2 linked regions of the Lepisosteus oculatus genome follow. The protein of the gene in region 1 interacts with the protein of each later gene in a pairwise test. Links are inferred from orthologs where the notes say so. Each region holds a gene or a part of one and is shown on either strand. Other genes may lie near its edges.

Region 1 (6,901 bases):
TCACGGATGTCGGAAGGGACGAACCATGGAGAGGCAGGAGAGCAGAAAAAGACCCATATGCGTAGCGGCGGAACGGGGGATTAGCCCGGGCTCAGCAGTTCAGGAGTGGTATAGAAACCAATGCCCTCAGGCAGCGGACGTAGGGCGACCTGAATGCTAGGCGGGTCTCAGGACATCCGAATGTCAATGCTGAGCAAAGGTGAATGAGTGACCCCCAGAGAGAGAGACACCAGAAGGACAGCAAAGCACAGAAAACTAGGGACAGGATATAGGAGCGCCCTCTGGCTGCAGAGGGCGTGACATACCCCCACCTTCATGGGTGGCTCCTGACGCCCATACAAATAAATGAGCCAGGAGTCCACGGCTGAGAGCTGCCCCCTCCTCCATGGTATAAACCTTTATTGGGTAGAGGAAGGGGGCTCAGGTAGGGCTCCGGAGACTTAAAACAAAAAAGACAATTACACAAGCACAAACCACAACACAGATAAACCTGGGAGACCAGGGAAACAAACCACAAAAACAGATAGGAACCAAAACTTCCAAGACACACAGGACAGGGGGACCAGAGAGAAGGGGAAACCAGGAAGTGAAAAATCAAAATACCAAGCAAGAAACAATAATAAAAACACAAAAACCCGGGAAAAATACCACAGACTGGGCAATAGGCACATTCCCATTCTATCAATGATATCGGAGTGGACAACCCGAAGAAAGCCAGGCACACGGCCCGCTAACAGGCACGGATGACTAGAGTGATATCCAGCAATAAGAATAGAGGAATGGCAAAAAAGGCTCACCAGACTAATGCCAATATCGGCAGAAGACAACTCAAGGAAAGCCAGGCCACAGCCCGCTCACAGGCACGGATGTCAGGAAGGTGATATCCAGCAATTAGAATGGGAGAGGAAAAAAGGCTCACCACCCTATCGCTGATATCGTTGTGGACAACCCGTGGAAAGCCAGGCACACGGCCCGCTCACAGGCATTGATGACTGGAGTGATATCCAGCAATAATAATAATAATTGCTTACACTTATATAGCGCTTTTTCTGGACACTCCACTCAAAGCGCTTTACAGGTAATGGGGACTCCCCTCCACCACCATCAATGTGCAGCATCCACCTGGATGATGCGACAGCACCCATAGTGCGCCAGAACGCTCACCACACATCAGCTATCAGTGGGGAGGAGAGCAGAGTAATGAAGCCAATTCACAGAGGGGGATTGTTAGGAGGCCATGATTGATAAAGGCCGATGGGGAAATCTGGCCAGGATGCCGGGGTTACACCCCTACTCTTTTCGAGAAACACCCTGGGATTTTTAATGACCACAGAGAGTCAGGACCTCGGTTTTACGTCTCATCCGAAGGACGGCGCCTGTTTACAGTATAGTGTCCCCATCACTACACTGGGGCATTAGGACCCACATGAGCCGCAGGGTGAGCGCCCCCTGCTGGTCCCACTAACGCCTCTTCCAGCAGCAACCTTAGTTTTTCCCAGGAGGTCTCCCATCCAGGTACTCACACCTGCTTAGCTTCAGTGGGTTGCCAGTTGTGAGTTGCAGGGTGATATGGCTGCTGGCATATGAGGATAGGAGGGCCAGCTCAACATTCCATCACGGATGCCGGAATGACAACCCGAGGAAAGCCAGGCCACAGCCCGCTCACAGGCACAGGAGTCGGAAAAAGCATCCCGTGACTAGAATAGGAGAGCTGAGAGGAAAAATATGCAAGAGAAATAAAAGCGCCACTTGTGGGGTAAGTAGGAGGCTCAGCACTCTGTTACGGATGTCGGAAGGGACGAACCGTGGAGAGGCAGGAGAGCAGAAAAAGACCCATATGCTCAGCAGTTCAGGAGTCATATAGAAACCAATGCCCTCAGGCCATGGACTGGAGCGACCTGGTGCTAGGCGAGTCTCAGGACATCTGAACCCCAATGCTGAGCGAGGAGCAAGGCAGAAGAGCGCCCTCTAGGTGTACTGGGCGTGACACTGTCAAAAGGCTGAAGCTGAACCTTAAGTGGACGTTGCAACAAGACAATGACCCAAAACACTCAAGCAAATCCACAAAGGAATGGCTCAAAAAGAAGAAAGGGAGGGTTATGGAATGGCCAGGTCAAAGCCCAGATCTTAACCCCATAGAAATGCTGTGAAGGGACTTGAAGCGGGCAGTACATGCAAGAAAGTCCTCAAACATCACACAGTTAAAGGAGTTTATAAGGAGGAGTGGGCAAAAATGTCTCCAAGTCGATGTAGGAGACTGATAGACAATTACAAGAAATACCTACAAGAAGTGATTTCTTCCAAAGGGGGCAACACCAGCTATTGAAGCTAGGGGGTGTACTTATTTTTTCCCACAGCAGACAATTGCATTTCTGACTTTTTTTCTGTTGAATAAATGATTGAAAATATTCATATTCATTGTTATTTGTTATATTAGATCACCTTTATCTATCAGTATTGTTGAAATGAAGATCAAATATCCATACATGCAAATATTTGAAAATCACACATTTTCATGGGGCATACTTACTTTTTCACAGCACTGTAACCTCTGGGTGCTCTGGTTTCCTCCCACAGCCCAACAACATACAGTTATGTTAATTGGTTTCTGGGAAAAATTGGCCCTAGGTGTGAGTGTGTCTATATCTGTGTTTGTGTCTGTGTGTGCCCCACAATGGACAGGCGCCCCATCCAGGGTGTATCTTGCCTTGCATCCCTTGCTTGCCAGGATAGGGTCTAGCTCCCCTGTAAATCTGAATTGGAAGAAGCGTTTAGAAAATGGATGGATAACATTAGAACACAAGCGATTTCATAAAACTTTAAAGTAAGCATATCCTTAAAAAGAGCGCTGGAAGGGACTGTGGGCCCTGTACAGGGACTTAGGAGGAAATCCCTGCTCCTTGAGCTCCTGCAGAGGACTGGACAACCGCAGTTTCAGAGCAGGACAAGGACAACTGCAAGTGGTAGAGTTTGGAGGGCCTCTTTCACTGTGCGAATCCAGCCCCAGCATCCACTTGCTGTGATTGATAAAGGACAAACACCCTTTTTAAGAACTTTTGTATTATATTAGAATTGGATAGAGTAAGAGCGCCCTCTGGCCGCAGAGGGCGTGACACCACCTCAGACTCTCCCTGTCTGACTGGCTGACCGCTACAATATTTTAACAGCTACAATATTTACGATTTGATTTTTGCTTGTACAAAACCTGGCACTGTCACCAGATAAATACTGGTGATCTTAAAATCAAAACAGCCTAAAGAGAGACCGATAAACCACTCGGATTACTATGGAAACCTTCGTTGTTGAGATGTTAGAAAGGAACAGTGCGCCGCAGGAGAGAAGGAGCCGGTTCCTCAGTTACTGGTGCCCTGGCTTGTGTTTTACTGTATGTGCGGTACTCCCACTCCCAGGCGCTGCTCCACCTTCACCACCCCCGTTGGCGCTCTGTGTCCACCTCACTGTGCTTTACCTTTTTGCTTCACAATGCTTAAATGTTAATAAGGCTAGTTTGAAAAAATCTCTTAATATGTTCATTTATTTAAAAGAAAACGGCGAAATAAATACTTAAGTGTCGACAGTGCTGTGACTGAAACGTTTAACCAGGAGCTGTAAAAGGGATTCTCCTCTACATACTGTGTATTGTACAGTACTATGAGCTACAAAGTCGTGCGGCTTAATATTATTTCCGATCGTACCTTCTGTGAGCGTCTGCTCGTTTCCCGTTGTGCGGTCTGTGACAGTGGTGTGGACTCCACGAGAGGGGAAAGTGAAAAGAGTGGAGAAAGTAAAACGGATAAAAAAAAAACAAGAAGAGGGATAAAAAAGGAGACTGCAGTTTTCTTGGCAAATTCAATGAGCTCATTCTGACAGACAGGAGGAGGGCGGAGTTTTTTTTACAGCATCATCGTCCTCATCGCGCTGTGGTACAGCTGCTGCTGATGATGTGCAGGGGGAAAGGAGAAAAATCAAAGCCATGGGTAGAGCTTTAAGGATTCTAGGCCTTAATTCATTCTGGAGGTTAATAAAACGGTAAGAATTGTATCGTTTTCTAGTTATTTGTTTACACCCGCATCTGACGGTTTGAATCAGCGTTACATCAGTTCAGAATTAAAACAGGGATGTGATGCTCTGTACAGTGGAAATGGAGAGGTATTTACAGCCGGCGTCGTGTCATAATAGGATAGAGGATTTTTTTCCCACCCGATTCATTTGTGTTGTCATGTATTAGCGAGTAACGGTAATCTTTTGTTTTGTTTTTCCTAATTCCGGGCACTGGTGCTTTGTTTTTCGTTTCATGCACTAAGAAAGAATACAGTATTCGATCGTCATGACACAGACGTGTGTTTGGTTTAAGCGTTCATGTGGCTAGGCTTGGCCTGTGCAGTAGGCTGAGATCAGCCTTTGGGTAACGACAAGTGCATCTTTGGTAGTCATTTCTGATGCTGGTTTTAAAGTGAAATAGTACTACACAGGCCATTTAAAAGTGGGAACAGTATTTATTATTAAATAGTGAGTTCCACATGCTCTTAGGGTAGGCAGCTACCTAATTTAATTTGAATTGTCGAGTACCGGTATTTCATTGTTTATGTTTGAGGCTTTCCTCCCAGTTGTGCAAAGGTACTGTAATAGGGGTTGATGAAGCGAATATATGGAGTCAATTCTTCCATCCTCCTAATTACAGTGGGGCTTCTCTTGTGCCAATTTATGCAACCATATATATTTCACTAAGAATTGTGATAAGGCTCATTTATTTAGGCACATTGTCGGTAACAATTCAGTAGACTGGAGATATAAAGTTTCAGTAAATGTCACCTATTCTACAATGGCTGTGTGCAGTTTGTTTGGATGCTTTACTTTCTTCTCCAGTCCAGATTTATGTCGATTCTGACTTTTGCGATCTATTTGTTAGATACTATTGTTAGGATCATTCTAAAATTTGATATACAGTATGAAAGCAAATGGAAATAGAGGACATTCAAGCAAATGGTATTGTAATATAAGACATGGTAGAAACTATGAAGTGTTTAGTGTTATGGTATTTCTAGTGTAATTTTAGAACAGGCCATTAAAGTCGCCCCATTTTTATTTACTTTGGTGCAGATTCATGATCTTTTTCCCTGACACACTTTGTGTTGAATTCTCCAAAAGCAGTTGCTTCTTTCTTAGCTAAGTAATAACTTTAACTTTGCTATTTGTTAATTTTACATTCAACAGCAGTATACCATGCAAATACACATCATATGGATGCCAGTGTTAGAAATATAAAGATGGAAGTTTGTCTTTAACCAATAATAAAAAAAAATGTGAGTTTCAGGTGTCAGTTCATCTGTGGTCAGCCACACTGGCTCTGTGAGACCATCTTGATATCCTGCTGTCACATTTGCTGTCATTTACTTTATTGTATGTGCTTCAGTTTCTTTTATATTCATGTTAATATTGCCCTATATTCCTTACCTTTGAGAAACCAGTCCAGCTTCACACAGCTGTTTGTTCCTTTTTAGAATCCACGCTGTGTGTTAGATGACCAGGCTTGGGCATGCCTGGTGCTTGAGGGCCAGTGTGTCTGCAAGCTTTATAGGTCTCTTCACAACACCAACACATGAAGAGCTGACAGAAACTGTTCCCATTAAGCCAACAATGAGCTGATATACAGTAGGTTATGATCTGAAATGCAGACTTTAAAACTTACTGGCCTCCCAAGATTAGGTTCACCCATCCCTCAGCAGCTATAGTGGAGAGCCAAGCTGAGAGAGTGAAACTCATTTCTTTTGCTACTCCATTTGGATATGAAGGAGAACCTTAAGTGACATGCTTCACTCTGGCCACAGTGTTAGGAACCCTCATGAGTACACTATTTCAGCTGAAGGTTTTAGGAGCACAAGACAAAATGCCCTCACCTTCCCCGATAAGAACAATCCCTGGCTCTTAATCTACTTGTAACTGAAGTGACAACACAACTGGAAATCACATGGAAGTATACATAAAACTGCAAACAGAACTTTTATACCCAAAGGGTTTTAGGAGTGTGGAAAAATCTACCCAGCCATGCTGTCAAAGCCAGTATTCCTGGCTTGTTTTAAGAAATAACTGGAAGAGATCCGAAGTGCCAAATGAGTTAGATGGGACGAATGGCCACCTCCTCTCAAGCACACATGACAATCTAATGTTTGTTTTTAAGTTATGTTTTTAAGTTATTTTATGTCATTAGATGAGGGAGAAAATAAATTTCAGTCCCACACAGAATGATCACCATCAGCTGAGGTTGTGATGCTGGACAAGTGGCATGGGATTGGACTGCCAATATCTGTAAACCAAGAGGGATATATGTCTCGTTCTGATGCTATTGCTCTTGCAGTACAATATATTGTATCGTGGTGGAAGATTCTAATACTTTTGCCAGAAGGTGTATTAGAATGAATAATTTGTAGGCATAATAGATGGCAAAATGGTGTCAACATTATTTTTTAGAGTAAAAATTTGTTGAATCTACTTATTCATTTGCCTTTTAGTTTTATTGTATGTGCATTTCATTTACTGTGCATTGAGTAAACAGATAGAATAAGCTTCGTACTCATAGTCTAATTAATCCACTGTGTATATGGCTGTGAATGTGTTACCAGTACATAAATCTAGTAGTAATAGTTGAAGCACTCAAAGCTACTCATGACAAAAGAATATTAAATAAATTAGGTACAGCATTACCTAGCAAAGGCCACACTCTGATCTTATCCAGTCTAGGAGACACAGTGCCATATAAAACCACCCACTCACTCTAAAGCCGAATATTAATCATCTTGCAGCAGTCACAGTAACATTTTAAGGAGCGTAATGAGAATTACAGAATTCATATTGCTCAACGCATCATGGTTTTAGTTTAAAATGATGGAGCCAAATTTTAGTA
Region 2 (7,306 bases), on another chromosome or scaffold:
GTCCGAGGGCATGGGTGCGGATGCCACCTGGTGAACAGTGGGCCTGTCTGTGCCAGGGGGCGAGCTGCTGAGTCTGTCCAGGGCAGAGTCTCCCTCCGACGACGGATCCCGGACATCTTCCCTTGTCATCTTCCTCACAGCACCTGAGAGGGACACGGGGACACTGAACCTCACTTGAGGACACTGTACCCACTGGGGGGGGACACTGGGACACGTTGGGGTATACACTATCCCACTGGGGACTCACTGAACCACACTGGGGGACACACAGACGCACTGGGACGCTCAGACAGGTTATATACCGTTACAGCTTTGGGTGACTTGAGAAGTCTCTCTCAGATTTTAGATAAGGTTTTAGACATTGGGAAGAGTAAACACATCTAACTCCAAAGGAGAGAGGATGTTTGCCGACGACTGGGGGTCCCTTGAGCAGAAACAATAGTAAAGGTGATCTTGGTATTCCTAGGCAAGTTGTGGATTAATGATCGCAAAGGAGCAGGGCAGAAAGACACAGTATCTGTTCACCTTAAGAGCACAGGAGGAGAGAGAAGAACAGGGGGAAGAGGAGAAACAAGGGGAGCAGAGAGAAGAGAGAGGAGCTGGAACTTGAGGCTTGCGCCAGGCGAGAGCCCCTACTTCATGATCATCCAAATCAAACCTGACTGGAGCGAAGTATTTGAACCCTGTTAGAACGTGCTATTCTGTATTTTTTAGGGAACTTGGGTTTCCTGGGTAAAAGATACCTCAGTTAGAAACATCTTTCCTGATAAGGGGGCATTTTATGGATATGGATATAGGCTCCTATTTATTTTGGGGCATCCACAGAGAGAGATAGGTTTAACCGCAGGTTGCTCTGTATTTAGTTAGAAGGCAGCTCATCTCTTGTGTGGCCTCGACAGGTGCTTAGTGCTTAGTAGCGGTCTGGGGTTTTCTGGGTGACCAGAATGTTTGGCCTCTGAAACGCCTTGTCTGTAAAGAATGTGTTTAAAGCAACATGTTCTGTTGTGTGTTGTGTCATTGTTTGAAAATATCTGTCCAGCCCCACCCGTAACAATAGAATGTAACTTGGCGTGTTGTATGTTTTGTGTCTCGTGTAGGTTATTGCAATAAATATTTGTTTAAACCAAGTGTCTCTGGATTATTACTCCTCGACAAAGCTGTGTCAGAGATGGAAGAATTCACGTGCCTCTGGTTGTACCGGCCGCTCGCATACAGAAATCACTTACAAGTCGGGGATTATAAATAATTATTTCACCGCTCGGTCAATTCCTGATTTTCACCAGTTTTGTAACAATATAAACATCGTAACGCGAGCGATGGTTTAAATCTTGGGGTGCAACGGGGCTCCTGACATCCATACTCCACACGCCAACAGCAGGGGGCGCACCTCCCATCTCAAAGCGAACACCAGCGTGGCTCGCAGTCACTGGACAACATCACCCCTAACTCAACACGGGACCCCTGACACAACACCCAGCCTTGAGCCCTGCGCTTCCCACAACTCCGAGGCAGTGCCAGCAGGCCAGGCCAGGCCAGGGCAGGGCAGCTCCCCTCTTGACATGAGAGCGACGTGATCATGACAGGGCTCCCGGGCAGCAGCAGCAGCAGTCCCGGCCCCCTCACTCAGGAGGGATGCGCCCTGTTCCTGCAGCACACGAAGCAGGACAAACTGGAGTCCTCGCAGAGCGACCGGCGGGACGCTCGGGGCCCCACGCCAGGAGGGGACGACCGGGGGGAACACAGTCCAGGTCATGCCAGTACAGCTCTCTGAGCCCGAGAGAAGGAATGAGAGAGCGAGGGAGAGGAAGTTTAACACAGGGCTCCGCTTCTCTATCGTTCCGGTTATGTCAATATTAGCTGACGGATCAGCAGACAGAGCTGTCTTGATCCCAGAGTCCCGCCGCTCCTCCTGTTCTTCCACAGTCTGCGAACAGCTGCGCGGTCACCTGGCCTGCGAGAGGGGAGGGTGCAGGAGAAGGACGAGAGAGAGGAGGAGGAGGGGGGGGGAGGACAGCCCCCATCGTAAAGCACTTCACTGTCAGAGACCAGCACAAAGATACACAAATCCTGCAGCACACACACTCCACAGACGCAGATATATTTTATTTTACTTCTATTTTTTGTCTTGTTCCATGTTAATTTTATTTTATTTGCTTTGGCAACACTGATTGTACCCATTGGTCATGCTAATAAAGCACCTTGAATTGAATTGAATATATTACAGTCACCGGCCCGCGACCGGCAGGGCAGGACGCTCAGGGCTTAAGACGGGCAGAGCGCCCCCAGAGTCGGGCCCCCCTCAGCGCAATAACCGCACAGTGCTTATTTACCTGGCGGGGCAAGGCCAGCCACCAGGCGAAACGGGGTTTTGTGAGCAGACCAATCTGGGCACCTCCCAGCACCCCGGATCCCCCAGAGCACTGTGGGGAACTTCGGGAGCCTCAGGAGGCCTTGGTCTCCGTCTGACACGAGCAGGGCTCGACACACACCTCTGCCAGGCTGCCCCGGGAGCAACACCACAGCGAGGCGCCGACAGCTATCCCACAATGACACGGGTAAAGCACCGCCCAGAGAAGAGAGCGTCCCGGCAGCAGAGAGCAGACAACAGCACCGGGCAGGACGAGCGGGTCAGAGAGAGGACAGGGGGAGGAGGCAGGGTGAGGGGCAACAGACACAGGCAGAGACAAGCGGGAGTCTCACTCACGGTCACCGTCGCCCGGGGAGAGTTCAGGAGTGGCCGCTGGGTCCCCCATGCCAAGTGACCAGAACAGGGAGAGGCGGAAAACGGGACAGCACCTCCTCTCTCTCCTGCTCCACTGTGATCCCCAGCCAGCGGGCTGGCTATTTACAGCTCAGGCAGCCTGCGCCGGCCGTCCCACTCCCTCGTCACATTCTCCTGTCAATCTACACGTCTGTGCACCACAGCACACGCACAGGCCTGGCCACAGACGCAGAGCACTGGCACTGAGCCCCTGAGGCGGGGGGCACGCTCGCTGCTCGTACAGGGGGGGCAGTGTCCGGACTGTAGTGTGCAAGACACTAGCTCCTGCCATCTCTAGCAAAAGGTCAGGCATGTGAGCCGAGCTAAAAATACACTCATTTTACAGTGCCCAGGACACAGGCACCACTCTCCACACACACTGGAGATCAATAGACAGGCGGCACAGTGCCCAGGACACAGGCACCACTCTCTACACACACTGGAGATCAATATACAGGCGGCACAGTGCCCAGGACACAGGCACCACTCTCTACACACACTGGAGATCAATATACAGGCGGCACAGTGCCCCGGACACAGGCACCACTCCTTACACACACAGGAGATCGATATACAGGAGGCACAGTGCCCAGGACACAGGCACCACTCCTTACACACACAGGAGATCGATATACAGGAGGCACAGTGCCCAGGACACAGGCACCACTCTCTACACACACAGGAGATCAATATACAGGCAGCACAGTGCCCAGGACACAGGCACCACTCCTTACACACACAGGAGATCGATATACAGGAGGCACAGTGCCCAGGACACAGGCACCACTCTCTACACACACACAGGAGATCAATATACAGGCGGCACAGTGCCCAGGACACAGGCACCACTCTCTACACACACTGGAGATCAATATACAGGCGGCACAGTGCCCAGGACACAGGCACCACTCCTTACACACACAGGAGATCAATAGACAGGCGGCACAGTGCCCAGGACACAGGCACCACTCTCTACACACACAGGAGATCAATAGACAGGCGGCACAGTGCCCAGGACACAGGCACCACTCTCTACACACACAGGAGATCAATAGACAGGCGGCACAGTGCCCAGGACACAGGCACCACTCTCTACACACACTGGAGATCAATAGACAGGCGGCACAGTGCCCAGGACACAGGCACCACTCTCTACACACACTGGAGATCAATATACAGGCGGCACAGTGCCCAGGACACAGGCACCACTCCTTACACACACAGGAGATCAATATACAGGCGGCACAGTGCCCAGGACACAGGCACCACTCCTTACACACACAGGAGATCAATATACAGGCGGCACAGTGCCCAGGACACAGGCACCACTCTCTACACACACTGGAGATCAATATACAGGAAGCACAGTGCCCAGGACACAGGCACCACTCCTTACACACACAGGAGATCAATATACAGGCGGCACAGTCCCCAGGACACAGGCACCACTCCTTACACACACAGGAGATCAATATACAGGCGGCACAGTCCCCAGGACACAGGCACCACTCCTTACACACACAGGAGATCAATATACAGGCAGCACAGTCCCCAGGACACAGGCACCACTCTCTACACACACTGGAGATCAATATACAGGCGGCACAGTGCCCAGGACACAGGCACCACTCTCTACACACACAGGAGATCAATAGACAGGCGGCACAGTGCCCAGGACACAGGCACCACTCTCTACACACACTGGAGATCAATAGACAGGCGGCACAGTGCCCAGGACACAGGCACCACTCTCTACACACACTGGAGATCAATATACAGGCGGCACAGTGCCCAGGACACAGGCACCACTCCTTACACACACAGGAGATCAATATACAGGCGGCACAGTGCCCAGGACACAGGCACCACTCCTTACACACACAGGAGATCAATATACAGGCGGCACAGTGCCCAGGACACAGGCACCACTCTCTACACACACTGGAGATCAATATACAGGAAGCACAGTGCCCAGGACACAGGCACCACTCCTTACACACACAGGAGATCAATATACAGGCGGCACAGTCCCCAGGACACAGGCACCACTCCTTACACACACAGGAGATCAATATACAGGCGGCACAGTCCCCAGGACACAGGCACCACTCCTTACACACACAGGAGATCAATATACAGGCAGCACAGTCCCCAGGACACAGGCACCACTCTCTACACACACTGGAGATCAATATACAGGCGGCACAGTGCCCAGGACACAGGCACCACTCTCTACACACACAGGAGATCAATATACAGGAGGCACAGTGCCCAGGACACAGGCACCACTCTCTACACACACAGGAGATCAATATACAGGAGGCACAGTGCCCAGGACACAGGCACCACTCTCTACACACACAGGAGATCAATATACAGGAGGCACAGTGCCCAGGACACAGGCTATAAGCAGGAACATCTCACCTGTGCTGTGACTGGTAGCTCAGGGCCGTACAGGACCTCTCCTTACAGGCCACAGTTTTCCATCATCTAAGCTCTTAACCACATAACATCATCGTTCTCCTTTACTACAGCACACGATCTTCAGAAAGCAAACAGGAAAATCCAAACCCACAATACACAACAACAAACAGATTCAAAACCAGTCAGACAGGATCGCTGTCACCAGCACAATGAACAATTACAATGAAAGCCCAGCCCTGGGGGCACTTCTGGAGGAACCCCAACACCTCCATACCCAGCCCGGACCGGACCGGACCCTCAACCCCTCCCCCTGCCTGACCCGAGACTGACAGAGACGAGCACATCCGCTCAAGTCCTCCTGTCCGCGACACAGGCCCCGTGCCAAACACATGGAGTAATTCAGGCAGAGCGCCAGAGTGAGCGACGTGCCCGGCTCCTGGTGAGAACGCCCCAGCCACACGCCTGTGCTCCACACCGGGGACAGCTTACTTTTCTTGTGAAGGTGCCTCAGCATCGCGTGACCCTGCGGCAGGAGAGCCCTTCACAGCCGCCTGATCTCCTCCACAGCCACACGCCAAGGATAAAACAGGACGCCCATCAGGACAGTCAGGTTTACTTTGTAACCAAATCGAGTGCTGTCTGCAACACTGGAACAGTCCAGCTGCGCAGAGCCTCGTGCAGGAGAATAGCAGCTCAGAGACACCCTGTCAGAGCAGTCCAGCTGCGCAGAGCCTCGTGCAGGAGAATAGCAGCTCAGAGACACTGTCAGAGCAGTCCAGCTGCGCAGAGCCTCGTGCAGGAGAACAGCAGCTCAGAGACACCCTGTCAGAGCAGTCCAGCTGCGCAGAGCCTCGTGCAGGAGAACGGCAGCTCAGAGAGAGACTGTCAGAGCAGGCCAGCTGCGCAGAGCCTCGTGCAGGAGAACAGCAGCTCAGAGACACACTGCCAGAGCAGTCCAGCTGCGCAGAGCCTCGTGCAGGAGAACAGCAGCTCAGAGACACACTGCCAGAGCAGTCCAGCTGCGCAGAGCCTCGTGCAGGAGAACAGCAGCTCAGAGAGACTGTCAGAGCAGTCCAGCTGCGCAGAGCCTCGTGCAGGAGAACAGCAGCTCAGCGACACACTGTCAGTGCAGTCCAGCTGCGCAGAACCTCGTGCAGGAGACCAGCAGCTCAGAGACACTGCCAGAGCAGTCGAGCTGCGCAGAGCCTCGTGCAGGAGAACAGCAGCTCAGAGACACACTGCCAGAGCAGTCCAGCTGCGCAGAGCCTCGTGCAGGAAAACAGCAGCTCAGAGAGACACTGCCAGAGCAGTCCAGCTGCGCAGAGCCTCGTGCAGGAGAACAGCAGCTCAGAGACACACTGTAAGAGCAGTCCAGCTGCGCAGAGCCTCGTGCAGGAGAACAGCAGCTCAGAGAGACTGTCAGAGCAGTCCAGCTGCGCAGAGCCTCGTGCAGGAAAACAGCAGCTCAGCGACACACTGTCAGTGCAGTCCAGCTGCGCAGAACCTCGTGCAGGAGACCAGCAGCTCAGAGACACTGCCAGAGCAGTCGAGCTGCGCAGAGCCTCGTGCAGGAGAACAGCAGCTCAGAGACACTGCCAGAGCAGTCGAGCTGCGCAGAGCCTCGTGCAGGAGAACAGCAGCTCAGAGACACTGCCTGCTCCCGAGAGAGAGACAGAGGGACACACATGCAAACAAGCAGCAACTCTGGGGACACAAAAATCCACACACACTTGGACACACCCAGGGACACAAATGCACTAGTACACACCCAGAACACACACGAATGTGACCGTCGGCACACATGGGCAGCCAAATAAAGAAACCCACACACACAGATCGACAAATAAACACAAGGACACAGACTCACAGACACAGAGCGACACACTAACTCAGGCATACACGCAGACACACAGGGAGAGTATCTCACAACAGCTGTGCCCTGCGAGAGATCGGGCCGGTCCAGTCACAAACCAATCACCCCCTCTGCACAAGACTGGCATTAAGATTATTTTCAATTATGCATTTTTATGATGCATTTCAACCTTTGTTAAATATATTTTGTTCTTCTTACGTGTACATGTATTTCCCGACAATTTCTCCTTAAAACTCATCAATTTAGTT

What was found.
Region 2: the proteins of jakmip2 (region 1) and CAP-Gly domain-containing linker protein 4 interact in binary tests that used the Homo sapiens proteins (3 or more experiments, as listed by UniProt). The two-hybrid records come from large-scale screens. The link is inferred for Lepisosteus oculatus from reciprocal best matches to the Homo sapiens genes JAKMIP2 and CLIP4.

Annotation. Positions count from the first base shown.
Region 1 is NC_090706.1:26,812,342-26,819,242, reverse strand, and holds the start of jakmip2 (janus kinase and microtubule-interacting protein 2), read left to right. Parts: upstream 1-3,895; 5' UTR 3,896-4,029; intron 4,030-6,901.
Region 2 is NC_090697.1:29,363,849-29,371,154, forward strand, and holds the start of CAP-Gly domain-containing linker protein 4, read right to left. Parts: upstream 3,028-7,306; 5' UTR 2,754-3,027; coding exon 2,705-2,753; intron 144-2,704; coding exon 1-143.